2 linked regions of the Stegostoma tigrinum genome follow. The protein of the gene in region 2 interacts with the protein of the main gene of each other region in a pairwise test. Links are inferred from orthologs where the notes say so. Each region holds a gene or a part of one and is shown on either strand. Other genes may lie near its edges.

Region 1 (8,027 bases), on a different chromosome or scaffold from region 2:
AACTGCAAAGGTTCTCAATCCACTAACAGCTCAAGTTTAACATTCTGATTGTAGAACTTGAAGTTCTTCATGACTTTTTCCATCCCTACTTCTGTAAACTGCTCCAAATCGCTGACGAGTCTGCGCTTTCTTGTACCTACCAAAACTGTGTTTTTGTAAGTGATGCCCATGTCTTTACAGTCTGGGGTCCCACACCAGAATCTTTGCCCTAAAATCTTACCATTGTCTCAATTTATTTTATAAAAATCCCCTTGAAAACCACTTCCTTAACCACACTTTGTATCATCTCGCCCACCATCTCCTCAAATGGGATGGCACTCTGTTTTCTACCCACTTTGGGAGATTTTTTTTCTCTGTACTGAAGGTATTCCATAAACACCAGGGTTTCCACTGTAGACTGAGCTAAAATTCTGAATACATAAATTAATTAGATGAAAAAGAAACAATGATTTAGCAATGAAATATTTTGCTCACCTGTCCTTACATTTATAGATTACCTCAACAAGTCTTTCAATTTTCGATAAAATATTGTAACATGTATAACTGCAGCAATTAAATGTTTCTGATCATTTAATTAGAGAAATTCTGTAGCCTTTTGGTTAGCTCCGTTGTCTGAATGGCTGGTTTACAGAGCAGAGCGACAGCAACAGCATGGGGTCAATTCCCATACCTGAGGAGACACAAAGGTCCCTTTGTCTCAATCTCTCCCCTCACCTGAGGCATTCAGCCACCATCAGCTGTCTTTCTCGAACAAGACAGCAGCTTTATGATCTGACAAGATTAGGACTATGACGACTTTACCTTTAGTAAACATAAACGATTCATTTTCTCGCTTTCTGCATGACAATTGGCAATAACAATGTCTTGAATTATCTTGTTACTCAGATCCATAAATATATTTAGAGAGATATATGCAAATATTGCATGCAATGTTACTTCTTGACCAAAAAAGTAGTAAATTACATCTTGAGAACTTGAAACTTACAGCCTTCAAAATCACATTTATTGCTCAAGTCTTTCACATTTGTGTACTTTTACATTTAAACATACTTTGTCATATAATAATTAATCATATACTACGAAACGTGGCATACCCAAGCAGCAATTAATATAACTGCTTACAGTTAATGCTTGGACTGAAAGGAAGTGTCGAACAGGAGGATTCCTCCAAGAGAACAGCCTTTTCAGTTTTTCCACTTTCAGAGTTAAGGGTCTAAACTAAATTGCGAAAACAAAATCTAAAGCAAATTGAAGGGTTCCAGATGACAACTGTGCCAGGAGGGACAGCCAATACAGAAGGGTAGTCATTCCTCAGCATAGTAAAAATGATCTATATTAGTACGGCGCAAGCAGGGACAGGCTAGTGCTAGTCCATAAACTAAGGAGTGCTCTTATCAGTACTTGACGTTCTTCAGTTGATAGTGTAGCAGCCCGAAGTAATATTTCTGAGCTCAACACAAGCTATTACGAGTGCTGATTTTGAAATGTATTACCACTGACAGTGGGAGTGATAGTCTTTGTCAGCGCCACTTGGCGGTGACAGCAATCAATATTGGGGAACGATAACGCCCCATGTTCTAATCGGGGCGCAGGTACTGTAGGATTATTTGTATAACAGGATAGTGTTTCTACACAATAGCATAATAAAACACATCGCAAATCGATCTTGGGTGTGTTTATGGCAGGGTTTTACTCGACACCCTAGTCTGTGCTGCTGGACAATGATAAAATAGCCACATCTGAGAACAAAGGACAATTCTCAGACCGTTTTCATAGAGGTACGTTTGGAATTAAGTTCTTTTTTGTATTAGCTGGGCAGAGTTTGACCTGTTTGCAATTTCGAAAGGGGAGCCTCAAATAGAAAAGCCACCGCAAAGTTGTCTTTAGCTTCCCCGCCATGATTAACAAGTCACCTTGGACTGCTAATTATTGGCTCTATTTAAAGGGCGCGAGTGCAACAAAGTGTCTGTCTGCAGACTGGGTCCTCTGGGCGCCCTGTAACTGGACGAAAACAGCTACCGCAGTGAGAAGCGAAATAAAGCACCCAGATCGATCCAATTTCCAGCACCTCCTTCGGCAGAGCGAAGACATCAGCAACGTCAAAAACTGCTTGCAATTTTTTTGCCATCAGCTGATTAACACGAGGTTAAAGCTGTTGCAGAGGATGCACTGAGCCCCCTTGTAACCAGAAAGCTTGCTAACGTGTTTAGGCAGGATTTTTTTTTTGTCCTTGTTGGCTGGCTTACCTTTTGCTGCCTCCTCGCCATGTCTGTAGGCTGCTTGGCATTGAATGGGTAGGCGATGCATCTCATCACAAAGACATACAACTGAAGCTTTCTCTTTCTCTCTTCCTCCTCTTTCTGCAGCCTCTCGAGCTCCTCTTTCTCCTTCTCGCTCACCACCGAAGGGCTGGGGCTGGACGGCCGGATGCTGCTGCTCCGGCTGCTCGGTTGTAAACCTCCGCTGCTCTCGCTGGTCCTGCTCGGGGACAACCGACTGCCCGGCGCCGGAGCCTGCACCTCCTTGCTCTCCTCCTCAACTATCTCCTCCGATTCCTCCTCACTAGACGACGGGTCCAACATTGTGGCACCTCACCTGCTCGCTCGCTCCCACTCTCCTGCACTGAATAAACCAAGAGAAATTGCAAACTGCAGGCACCGTGCGAGTAAATAGAAGCAGAGAGGAAGCGAGCTGCCCTGTGCTTTGCACGGATTGTCAGCAGACAGGAAGCCGAGTGCTTACGTTCTTGTGATTTAACCCTGCTCTCACCGACACAAGGTATTAGGGACGTGCACAGGTCTGGGATCGAGGCTGCATCGTGTCTCTCTCTGCCTGCCCAATTCCGTCAGTACAATGTGATGGATGACCACCGCTTTCTACTACAGGTCTGCAACACAGATAGAGGCACATACATTTATATATGCGGCCGCGGTGGGGACCTCTGTAATCTGCAAAGATTAATCGCTGGAGGTTCTGATTTGACTCCCAATATTGTGACAGCTTTGTACTCGCACTGTACCGGGAGGGAGGGGCAGAGTGACCACATTCCCAGCCTTTCATTAACACTGGATTCAAAGTGTTGAACTGAAACGGTAAAATCTTGTTTCACAAGAGAAAACAAAAGATGTATTGATATTATGGAAGTTGCATCCCCTTTTATTTAAATCACATTTATAAACATGATAAGGTTCAAAAGGAAACAAAAACATAAAGGCAAAATAATTCAGAGATTGTAGGAACTGCCGATGCTGGAGAATCTAAGATAACAAGGTGTAGAGCTGGACGAACACAGCAGGCCAAGCAGCATCAGAGGAGCAGGAAAGCTGATGTTTGGGGTCTGGACCCTTCTTCAGAATAATTTCCTAGTTCCTGAGATGATATTCATTTACTTTTCAGAAAAAGTCCACAATTTTGGCAGTAGATTGTGAAACTGGATTGTCTGGATTCGGTCATTCTTGAAAATAGAATGCCCAAGGAAATGAAGTTGTTTCAGGCTCGGCATAAGACTCCAAAATCTACAACATTTGTTAGACCTGACAGGAGATTTTTTTTCTTGGAATGTCACCTGAGATATTAGCTTTGTAAGTCATCCATCTCATCAACGACGAATTTTCCACGGGAATCTTCATGTCAAATCATCACCTGTTTCTTGAACATGATATTTAAATTCCGTAGGTTACCACAGACTTTGCGGCATAGCCGATAAAAGGTTTTACATTTGGAAAAAAGCCCAACGTTTGAGTGGACACACTCGAAAAGCTGTTCTCGCAGAATTCGACCCTCTGCGCCCCCTACTGCAAACTAATGATAAGACAGGAAGTGTAAAGGATTTGAGGTACCCATTCATAAAATTAAAATCGGTTTTCATAGCTCGTTGTGATATGAAGCAGCAGTCATAACTTGCGTTGCAACGTGTTCTCGAAGTTTGGCATGTTTTAGACTTGTTGGCATGATTTTCGGGCCGGCAGGAGGAGAGAGTAAGTGGAGCAAGGAGTTACATGGCTCTGAGATAATGGGAACTGCCGATGCTGGAGAATCCAAGATAACAAAATGTGCAGCTGGATGAACACAGCAGGCCAAGCAGCATCTTAGGGGCACAAAAGCTCCCGAGATGCTGCTTGGCCTGCTGTGTTCATCCAGCTCCACACTTTGTTATCTCAGTTACATGGCTCTGACCCAGTTTTCCACCATTGCTCCATATCAGGGCGCTGGCTCATAAATGTTCAGCGGGCTTTAAATGGGGCAGTAATTTAAGGGCCAGATCTTCAGGTGAGGTGATGACCACCAAGAAGGCTGTCCACACACTGCAACAAAAACAGACATCCACTGTTGAAAACCTGGAAGAAAGGGTCCATAACTAATAGCTTTCAGCAAAAAGATCACTTCGAGACCACATGAAACACAGGCAGCCCATAGACTACATTTCAGTGCTCAACAGGATGACCAGTGTTAATTGTTATATAGAACAGGGAGTCACCAAGTCATGCAGCATGGAAGCAGATCCATCGGTCCAAATAATCCATGCCGATCATAATCCCAAACTTAATTAGCCCTACCTGCCTGTAGGAGGTAGCAAGAACTGCAGATGCTGGCAGTCAGAATCCATACAGTGTGGAGCTGGAGGAATACAGCAAGTCAGACAGCATTGGAGGAGCAGAAAAGTCGACATTTAAGGTCATGACCCTTCATCAGAACTGTATTTGCTCGTATCCCTCCAAACCTTTCCTATTCACGTACTTATCCAAATGTATTTTAAACATTGCAACTGTCACTGCATCACCCACTTCCTCTGGCAGTTCATTCCATACACTAATCAATCTCCGTGTAAAAAGGTTGCCCCATGTCCTTTTTAAATCTTTCTCCTCTCATCTTAAAAATGTTCCCCCCCCACCTAGTTTTGACCACTAGCTTATTCACTCAGAGCTGAACCTCCATTTCGAATCTCAGACCAAGAAACAAGTCAGCAAAGAAATTGCTAATCTCATATTGTAGAGATAAGTATCAAGTAAACTTACAGACCCAACTGAACACCCCGACCTTATGGCACATTGCGCGCCAGAAGACTTCTGGAAATAGTCAAAGATGCAATAATGGCTGTTTCCAAGGTAATCAGATCCAACACAAAAAAGAATAGGGACTAGTTTGATGAAAATAGTGGGGAAATCTAGAATCTGCTGGCAATAAAGGGGTCAGATCATTATATTCATCTGGCTCAGCCAGACTGGCCAGGAGAGAAAAAAAAAAGCAGAATGCCAAAAGCTTTTTCTGATGAAGGGTCTAGGCCTGAAACGTCAGCTTTTGTGCTCCTAAGATGCTGCTTGGCCTGCTTTGTTCGTCCAGCTCCACACTTTGTTATCTTAGACTGCCAAAAGGTGCAGTGTCCTTCAAGGTTAACTGAGGAATATCCAAAATGACTGGTGAATCATACTTGCAGAAAAAAATACTAAATTTTACACTGATACTGGCAACATAAGATGCTTCTATGAAGCACTAAATTCTATCAATGGACCAGCATATCAAAGCCAAACCCCCATGAGCAGCACCGATGGCCAGACACAGCACATTATCAAGGATCAGTCTGGATTGCTGGCCTTTGACCTCGGGATGAAACTGTGACCTCCATGAACCAGCTGAAGTTGATGGAATTGCACCCAAAGCCATGAGGCATGCTGGCCTTGCCCATGATACTAAGCTCCTTGAGATTTTCAGTGCTGACTGGGAGCAGGGCAGGATTCCATAAGACTGTCATGACACTGTACAAAAACAAGGAGGAAAGCCAGAATGCTCCAACTATCATGGGATCACCGTACTTTCTATTGCTGGAATAAACCTGGCTGGAATACATTCGAACAAGTTTGTGCCTACCATTGTAGAGGAAACTTTCCCAGATAATCAGTGCAGTTCTCTAGAAATCAGAGGTACCACAGAAGAATAGTATTTCTCAGTCCATTTACGAGTGAGAACAATTTCTCTCTATCCAGTCTGATCAGACCGCCCCCACTACGATTTTGAAAAGTTCATTCAGACCTCCTGTTAGCCTTCTCCTCTCCAAGAAAAGTGTCCTAAATTCTCCAAACTTTCCTCATAACTGAAGTATCTGATCCCTAGAACCAATCTTGCAAATCTGTTCTGCACACTCTTCAATGCATTTGCGTCCTTCCAATAGTGTGGCACACAGAACTGTACACAATATTCTAATGTACCTTGAAATAAAAAGTGATTAATGTTGGACAGGAAACCCTCAGGAAAAATGGAAATGTTGCTGTTACTGAGGGCATCCAAGTCTTTTCTTTTCCTAGTGGAGAATCTATGTGGGAGATCCTGATAAAAATTAGGTTTCTCAACAGGGTTCATCAGCTGTTCTTTAACTGGCATTTCAGTAAAGAATGACAGCTGCTTACCTTTATAACAGCTAGGATTTTTGCACTGACTAATATTACTGCTGCCACCAATACACACGTTATAACAATCACAAAACCTGTGAACTTGAGTGCAGATTTTAGTCGAGTGAAATGGTTCAAGAACAGGTGCAGAGATGTACTACATGAGTTCGCAAAGGGACAGAACAATCAATAACGTACAGCAAATCATTCAGACATGCCCCAGAATGTCCATGCCTGAATGCAAGTATTAATGTTAATGCTGCACTTTCTGAGACAGTAGTGGGAGAGACCTAGGTTGTCATCAACAGCTGCGCAATGAGGAAAATGACCATTTGACGTAGTCAGTCCATGGTGCAGGAAAGTAATGGAGGCCAAATAGCTTACTCCCAAGATCATTTCTAATGTGAGGGTATTAAGGAATACAGAACAAAGGCAGGTAAATAGAGTTGAGGAATCAGATTAGCCACTATCAAACTAAATAGTGAAACAAACTTGAACCATTTACTGAGAGATAATGGGAACTACAGATGCTGGAGAATTCCAAGATAATAAAATGTGAGGCTGGATGAACACAGCAGGCCAAGCAGCATCTCCTGAGATGTTCATCCAGCCTCACATTTTATTATCTTGAACCATTTACTGGCCTAATCCTGTTCTACTCAAAGCCTTAATTAAAAGGAGGATCATGGAGACTACATCCTGACAGACTATTGAAATTTCAGAAAAGTTTTGAGTAACGAAGAGAAGTGTCACTTTAAAAACAAAGACATTTAGCTCAACAGGAAACACCCTCAACAACTTCTCTTTCGATTCCTCCCATTTCCTACAGACAAAGTGGGTGGTCATGGGTACCCGCATGGGCCCAAGCTATGCCTGTCTTTTGTAGGTTACGTGGAACAATCCCTTTTCCGTACCTACACTGGCACTAAACCCCACATCTTCCTCCATTACATTGATGACTGTTTCGGCGCCGCCTCATGCTCCCATGAGGAGCTCGAACATTTCATCCACTTCACCAACACCTTCCACCCAACCTTAAGTTCACCTGGACCATCTCCAACACATCCCTCACCTTCCTGGACCTCTCTGTCTCCATCTTTGGCAACGACCTAGAAAGCGATATCCATTTCAAGCCCATCAACTCCCACAGCTACCCAGAATACACCTCCTCCCACCCACCTTCCTACAAAAATGCCATCCCCTATTCCTAATTCCTCCGCCTCCGCCGCATCTGCTCCCAGGATGAGGCATTCCACTCCCGTACATCTCAGATGTCCTTGTTTTTCAAGGACTGCAACATTCCCCCCGGCAGTGGTCGAGAATGCCCTCGACTGTGTCTCCCGCATTTCCCGCAACTCATCCCTCAAACCCCTGTCCGCAATAACAACCAAAAGAGAATCCCCCTCGTCCTCACGGACCACTCCACCAACCTCCGGATACAATGCATCATCCTCCGACACTTCCACCATCTGCAATCTGACCCCACCACCAAAGACATTTTTCCCTCCCCACCCTTGTCTACTTTCCGAAGAGACCACTCTCTCCATGACTCCCTTGTCCGCTCCACACACCCCTCCAGCCCCACCACACCCAGCTCTTTTCCCTGCAACTGTAGGAAGTGCCCCCACACCTCCTCCCTCACCC
Region 2 (7,624 bases):
CTTGTGTGGAGAGAGGAACAGTTCCTATCTACAATCTGGTCTAACTCTTGTTCAAAACTGAAGATGCTGGAAAATGCTGCTTTTTATGTTGTAAACAGAAGGGGAGTAAGAATGAAGGGAACAGGTGATGAGGATGCAAACCCAAAGGCAAAGGCCAAAGGAGCGATTGAAATGTCAAATGGGTGTTAATGAAGGCATGAAATGGAGAAAATGTCTGCATTGCTCTGAGCAAAGTCAACAAACACAGCCATATGGGCAAATTGAAGAGAACTGGAGAAAGCAAAACACGGCAGGATTTAGGTAGTTAATAGGGCCCTGGGGAATATTGTCAAAACAGAGGTTTAGGCACTCAGTTCCTTGAAAGTGGAGTTGCAGGTAGATGGGATAGTGAGGAAGACATTTGGCACACTTGCCTCCTGTGGTCAAAACATTCCCCGGGGTCCAATCATTAACATATATGTCTGCCCAGGTTTGCCTTACGAGCTTGTAGCAACTCATATTAGGAGAACTGTTATCATGGTATGCCACACTCATCCTAAGACCTGCTTATCCACATATAGACTAAAAAAGTCAGATGGGCAAAGGTAACTAAATAAAAATTTCAGAGAATGCTTTCAGGATAGTTTCTTAGAACAGCATATTCTGGAGCCAACTGGACAGCAGTCTGTGATTTGCAAATGTGCCCTCGCCATAAGTTACAGTGACTTCTGCAATTAAAAGGTATAAATATTAATTTTGCTATTAATTTGACAGCACAATTTGACCACTATCATCACGTGGACCTTAGATTCACAGAGAAAAGTGAAACTTCTATTGTTGTGCCCCAACATTGTCTTTATCCCTACAATACCAAAGTTGTACATCCATATTGATGTAAACTTTGGCTGTGCTGCAAAAAAATGGGGAGCATTTCCTGCACATATGCAGTTGCAGTCTCAGTTGTGTTGGAGGGGTAAAAGATGAAATATGAGAGAAGTTTTTTTTAAGATATCTATAAAGAAAGGGAGGCATGAGTGGACATTGAACCACTGGAAAATGAGGATTGAGAAGTTGTAAAGGGGAACAAAGAAGTGGTGGAGGACTTGAATAGGTACTTTGCATCAGTTTTCACAGAGGAAGACATCAACAACATACCAGAACTTCGACAGTTGGGAAGAGAGGTGACTGTAGTTCCCATCACTAGGGAGAAGGTACTTGGGAAGCTGAAAAGACTGAAGTTGGATAAATCACCCAGATCACATGAACTACATCTCAGGGTTCTGAAGGAGATTCTTTTGTTATGTGTTTTGAAAGAAATAAGTGAGGAGATTGTAGTGGCATTAGTGGTGATCTTTCAGGAATCGCTAGAGTTGGGAAGGGTTCCAGAACACTTTAATACAACACCTCTGTTTAAGAAGGGAGGAAAGCAGAATACAGGAAACTATGGGTCAGTTAACCAGATCTCGGTGATTGGTAAGATTTTACAATCCATCATTAAGGATGAGATTGCAGAGTACTTGGAAGTGTATGGTCAAATAGGGCAGAGTCAGCATGGCTTCATCAAGAGGAGGTCATGTCTAATAAATTTGTTAGAACTCTTGAGGCAGTAACATGCAAGTTAGGCAAAGGAGAGCCAGTAGACATGATCCAGTTGAATTTCCAGAAGGCCTAGGGCAAGGGACTGGCATGGATAGAGGACTGGCTGACTGGCAGAAGGCAGAGAGTAGAGATGAAGGGCTTTTTTCAGCATGGCAGCTGGTGACTAGTGAGGTTCTGCTGGTTCAGTATTGGGACCACAATTATTCACATTAAACATTCATGATCTAGACAAAGGAACCGAGGGTATCGTTGCTAAGTTTGCAGATGACACGAAGATAAGTGGAGGGACAAATAAGTGTTGAGGAAATGGAGTGGCCGCAGAAAGACTTAGACACGCTAGCCAAGTGGGAAAAGAACAATGTGGTAAAGTGTGAGGTTGTATATTTTCACAGGAAGAATAGAGGCGTAGACTATTTTCAAAGTGGGGAAAGGCTTTGGAAATGTAAAGCACAAAGGGACTTGGGAGTCCTCGTTCAGGATTCTCTTAAGGTTAACATGCAATTCATCTGGTTCACTAATGTCCTCTAGGGAAGGAAACTGCCATCCTTCCCTGGTCTGGCCTACATGTGACTCCAGACCCATAGCAGTGTGGTTAACTCTCAACTGCCCTCTGGGCGCTTAGGGATGGATGATAAATGCTGCCTAGTCAGCGACGCCCTCATCCCATTAATAAAACAAAGAAAATAAAAATCTGGTGGTTATGAAGGCAAATACGACATTGGCATTCATTTCAAGAGGACTAGAAAAGAAGAACACAGATGTACAGCTGAGGCTGTATCAGGTTCTGGTCAAATTGTATTTAGAATATTGAGAGTTTTGGGCCCCACATCTAAAGAAAGATGTGCTGGTATTGGAAGGAGTCTGAAGGAGGTTTACGAGAATGACTCTGGAGATAAACGGCTTATCATATGATACAAGGTAAAGGAATTGCAATGTGTACTCGATGGAGTTTAGATGGATGAGGGGAGAACCTGAGTAAATTTGGAGGAGTAGACCGGACATAGAGAAGACGTTCCATAAGCAGGGGAGACTATGACCCGAAAAGGTAGCCTCAGGGTGAAAGGACAGCCTTTTAGAACCAAGGTGAGTAGGAATTTCATCAGCCTGAAGGTGGCGACTCTGTGGAACACGTCGCCACAGTCAGCAGTGCAGGCCAAGTGACTGTGTGCCTTTAAGATATAGATAGTTTCTTGATTAGTAAGAGGATCAATTCAGGAGAAAGGGGTTGAGAAACAGATCAGCCATTATCAAATGGTAAAGCAGACTCAATGGGCTGAATAGCTGAGTTCTGCTCCAATATCTTATGGACAGAGTGTTGAATTAAATTGAATACTCTTTTTCAAGATGGTGGCAATAGCAGGAAGAGAAGTGTTTGGGCTCTGTGTCCATACACTCCCATTCCCATTCACCTGGCTGGCTGTATTCTTTTTTTGTTTCTTCATTTCTCTTTTTTTACTCAAAGTTCACTTGTTTACTGTGGATGTGGTGAAATACGGCGGTAGCAAGAGCCTGCTGCTGCAACTGCAGCATGGTGAATCCGGATGACCGTTCCTTGTGGCCATTGCTATATCAAAGGCATCATTGTTGATGGATCTGGTCCATTAATCCTGGTGGCAGTGGCTATCGTCGTGGTGGCATGGTGGTTCCAGTTAATTCCTCTTGATTATGGCGGCAATGTGGTCATTTTGGGTAATCACTGAAGTGGCGATGGCTTGAGCGACAGATCCAGTGTTGGCAACTTAGTGGGTCCAGTCTGTCCCTCCTTGCTATGGCAGTGATGCAGTGTCCTCAGTGCAGGGTTCGATAGTGGCAGCATGGGGGTCGGTCTGGAAATTCTTGTTTTGGCAACTTCAGAGGTGGCTTTGGCCATGGTGTCCTATTGCCACTTCAGAAACCCAGGAGCAAAAGATAAATTTTGTCTCAATTATTTATTTTTATAATTTTTGTGATTAAAATGGCACCAAATTGTGGTGACTAATAAACATCTCACTGTACTTGCACAATTGCAAGTGATGGTAAATTGTTCTTCTCTTCTATTAGCTTAACAGATTCACCATTCAAGTTCCCATTTCACGTCTGTTCAGCCCCTAACCAACAGCAAATTCTCATATCCAGTCTACCTCTTGTTTATCAACTCTTTCCTTAGGAAAAAACAGTGCTTCTGATGAATCAGTAGATGACATCTAATCAGGAAATTTCAACAAATGAAATTCCCAACAAACATTAATCTAAGAGATCAGATAGTAATATTTAAGGACATCTTTGTATGAATGTGATCAATTAAAGTGGGTGATCAGTAAAGAATGTAATTTTTAACTCAAACCTTTTAAAATTATTAAATTAAAATTTCTTAATAAAATGTCACATACCAGACTTGTTTGAATGTTTTATTAAATCAAGATTTCAGATCTGTAATGGTAAATTAAAATTTCTTCCTTTGTTCAATTTCGGCTCCATTTTCTTTCAACAGTGTCTGCAATGAAAATCTGTCAAATTTCTGATTTTAAAATACCGATTCATATTACAATACAGATAAGTCAAAATAATTAGGTTCAGATTTTTGCCTTAGCAGAGATCTGGTGAAAATAGCAGAACTGCTGGATGATCTCGAATTCTGTCCTAGTACAGGCTTCGTCGGAGGCTCACTGATGATGTTACCTAGAATGGTGACGAAACGTCTGAAAACGAACCTTCCAGCTCAGCGAGCAAACTCACATCCAGAACCTCAACCTGAGCTACAAATCTTCTCAAACTCGCTAGGGGTAAATTGGGTTAGTGGCCGTTTAAATCAGCAGTAACAGGTGGGATTTTCTGAAGAAGGCTCTAGGACCGAAACGTCAGCCTTTCCTGCTCCTCTGATGCTGCTTGGTTTGCTGTGTTCATCCAGCTGTACACGTTGTTATCTCGGATACAACACTGGCTGTTTCCAACAATGTTATGGAAGTGGAAATTACCTTGGCAGTGACGCAGATATCAGCTGCTTTCTAATTACAAATACACAACGGCGGTGTTGTTTTACCTTACAGGTCAAACTGCTTGAGGCGAGGTTAAGAAGGCAGGACCTTCTTGATAATCTCAGCCCATGGGGGGGATTGAACCACCCTGTTGGCGCCACCGTGCATTGCGCCGTCCAGCTAACTCAGCTGGTATCCGTGATACCAACATCCTAATTTCACTCCAAAGTCTGCTGTCATTTTTAAAAATATATCAATTAACACAAATATTGATAGGTTCGCCATCGTTACAATCAGTTTGTGCCTTTCTCGGTAGAGGAAGGTAAAAGAGAATTGGAATAATCGCGCTCCAAAAACGAACGATTTTGACCCTGCGGGCTCCCCGTAATGTTAATCCCCCTCCCGTGGATTGACCGTTGCTGTAAGGGTTGCGGCGAAGTCTCGACGAGATGCAGAATCCCCACCAGTTCTCGGTTCTCATTACCTCCTGCATCAAAACCCCCGTAAATCCGAAGACCAGGATACCCTCTACTCTGTACGAGAGAAGGAAAGCGCCGACTTTACGAAACAGCCAGAAACCATCTGTCGCCGAGGAGGTGAGGGCCTTGCGGTTGTTGTGTGTTTTGCGGGGGGAGGCGTTTACGTCACTGATTCATGGCGGCCACGTTGTCAATGGTAACGAGGTCGGCTGCTCGAGCTGAGCTTTGGGTCCAGGGTTTGCGGTAATGTTTTTCTGAAAAAAATACTCAAGAATGAACACTGTTCAAGTTAGTGTGAATATTCTAGCCGCTTGTGTCTTGGAGCAATTTTTTTTTCTTAATATTTGGATTGATTATGCCCCGGCAACAAAAGTATTCGCTTTCGTCCCCCTTTCTTTCAAAGGCAGCACTCATATTCTATCGCCGCAGTTTTATTTGTAGAATCTGGCAGTTGGTTTTTCTCCCACTAATTTTAGACGATCGGAATCAAGTGTAAACTATTCGAAATGGTCAGGGTTTGATCGAATATGTGATTAGGGATTTCCATGATGATTATTGTGTTTATTGAATATGGCATTTCTTGGTAATAAATATCGTGTATTTTATGTAATTTTGCTCAGTGGATCAGGAGCTGAAGTCATAGAGTTGTACAGCACGGAGACAGACCGTTCAGTCTAACTCGTCTATGCTGACCAGATATCCTAAATTTATCTACTCCCATTTGCCAGCATTGGGCCCATGCCTATCTAAACCCTTTCTATTCATGTACTCACCCAGATTCCTTTTAAATTTTGTAATTGTCATTACTGATGATATTGCACCATGTCAGAGAGGGTAAATTTACCAGGGTTTGGCTCCAGGAGTTGTCTCTCACTTATAGTTAGGTCGTTCAAATTTAGTCTGTGATCAGCAATACAAGAGTGTGATTTTAGGTGAGGCAGGTATGGGGAAACAAGAGATAATGGGAACTGCAGATGCTGGAGAATCCAAGATAACAAAGTGTGAAGCTAGATGAACACAGCAGACCAAGCCTTCATCAGAGGATCTAGGCCCGAAATGTCAGCTTTTGTGCTCCTGAGATGTTGCTTGGCCTGCTGTGTCCATCCAGCTTCACACTTTGTTATTATGGGGAAGCAAGATACAGCTTTTAAGGAGCTTCAGTTCATGCAATTCTCCAACAGTTATAAGGTCTTTGAAATCAGCTTGAACCAGAGTGGAAACTGCAGGAAGGATGAGCAAACTAATAACAACATTGTGGTGCAGGGAGCCATTAATGTGGGTGAAGGAAATTGAAATGGAAATACAGGAGCAGTGGGAAACAGTACAGTTATGGGATAGATGCTGTTCTTCTTAGCTTGAGTCCCAAAGGCTGTATTGCCTGCCTGGTGCCAGGGTTAAGGACTTCTTTAGGCTGGAGAGGAATTTGGAATGGGAGGGGAGGGATCCAGTTCTCACTGTGCAATGTTGGTAACAAAAATATTGAAAAAACTGGAAAGGAGTTCTGCTGAATTATCTTCTGATATTGAACAGTTAGGAGCTAAACTAGAAATAAGAAATTCAAGATTCTGAGCCATAGCAAACTGACATAGGGTTAATAAAGTCAGAGTTAAATGCATTTCTTAAAGATTGGTGTTGGAAGAGTGCGTTTCAGCTCATGGGGCACTAGCACCAGTTTTGGAACAGAAAGAAAACGCCTTGTTGGAGAAACGCAGCAGGTCCAGTACCATCGGTAGAAGGAGAAATAAAATTAATGTTTTAGGTGTGTTATTAATTTCTCCAGTATTGAAAGGAGCTAAGAATGTTTTTTTAATGCTGTGGACTGACAGGGAGGAGGAACAAGCAGAACAGATTGTGAAGGCACCCTGTGCAAAAGTTGAAGGCAGTGATAATGATAGTAAATGAATATAAGTAAGTAATATGGATTTAAATGACAGCTGGTACAGTGACAATACAGTATGGAGCTGGAGGAACCCAGCAAGCCAGGCAGAAGAGCAAGAAAGTTGACGTTTCGGGCCGGGAGCCGCCTTCAGAAATGGGGAGGGTGAAGGGAGCTCAGAAATAGAGAGAGGAGGTGTGGGGCTGGGGAAGATAGGTGGGATAGTGATAGGTGAGTGCAGGTAGGGGTAGTGGGGATTGGTCAGTGGGAGGGGAGGGGCAGATAGGTGGGAGAGAAGATGGGCAGGTTGTGTCAAGTCAAGGAGGCAGGGGAGGGTTGGACATGGGATGACGTTGGGGTGGGGAAATTTTAAAACTGGTGAATTCCATGTTTAGGCCTCCGGGCTGTAGGCTACCGAGGCAGAATATGAGGTGCTGCTCCTCCAGTTTGCGGGTGGTCTCATTGTGACGCTGCAGAAGGCCCAGGATGGACATGTCACCAAGGGAGTGGGAGGGGGAGTTAAAATTGTTGGCAGCCAGAAGGTTGTGTATAGAGCACAGATGCTGTACAAAATGGTCTCAGAGCTGACGCTTAGTCTCCCTGATGGGGAGCAGGCCACATCAGGAGCAGCAGCTGCAGCAGACCAAATTGACGGATGTGCAGGTGAACCCCTCTCTGATGTGGAAGGTTTGTTTTGTGCCTTGAATGGAGATGAGGGTGGAGGTGTAAGGGCAGGT

The links.
Region 1: the proteins of fam161a (region 2) and cadpsa interact in a two-hybrid assay, tested with the Homo sapiens proteins (2 studies listed by BioGRID). The two-hybrid records come from large-scale screens. The link is inferred for Stegostoma tigrinum from reciprocal best matches to the Homo sapiens genes FAM161A and CADPS.

What each region holds. Positions count from the first base shown.
Region 1 is NC_081364.1:48,963,384-48,971,410, reverse strand, and holds the start of cadpsa (calcium-dependent secretion activator 1), read right to left. Parts: upstream 3,053-8,027; 5' UTR 2,583-3,052; coding exon 2,247-2,582; intron 1-2,246.
Region 2 is NC_081362.1:40,580,908-40,588,531, forward strand, and holds the start of fam161a (protein FAM161A), read left to right. Parts: upstream 1-4,471; 5' UTR 4,472-4,981; coding exon 4,982-5,128; intron 5,129-5,176; exon of another isoform or gene 5,177-5,284; coding exon of another isoform or gene 5,285-5,299; intron 5,300-7,624. UniProt on the Homo sapiens protein: Involved in ciliogenesis.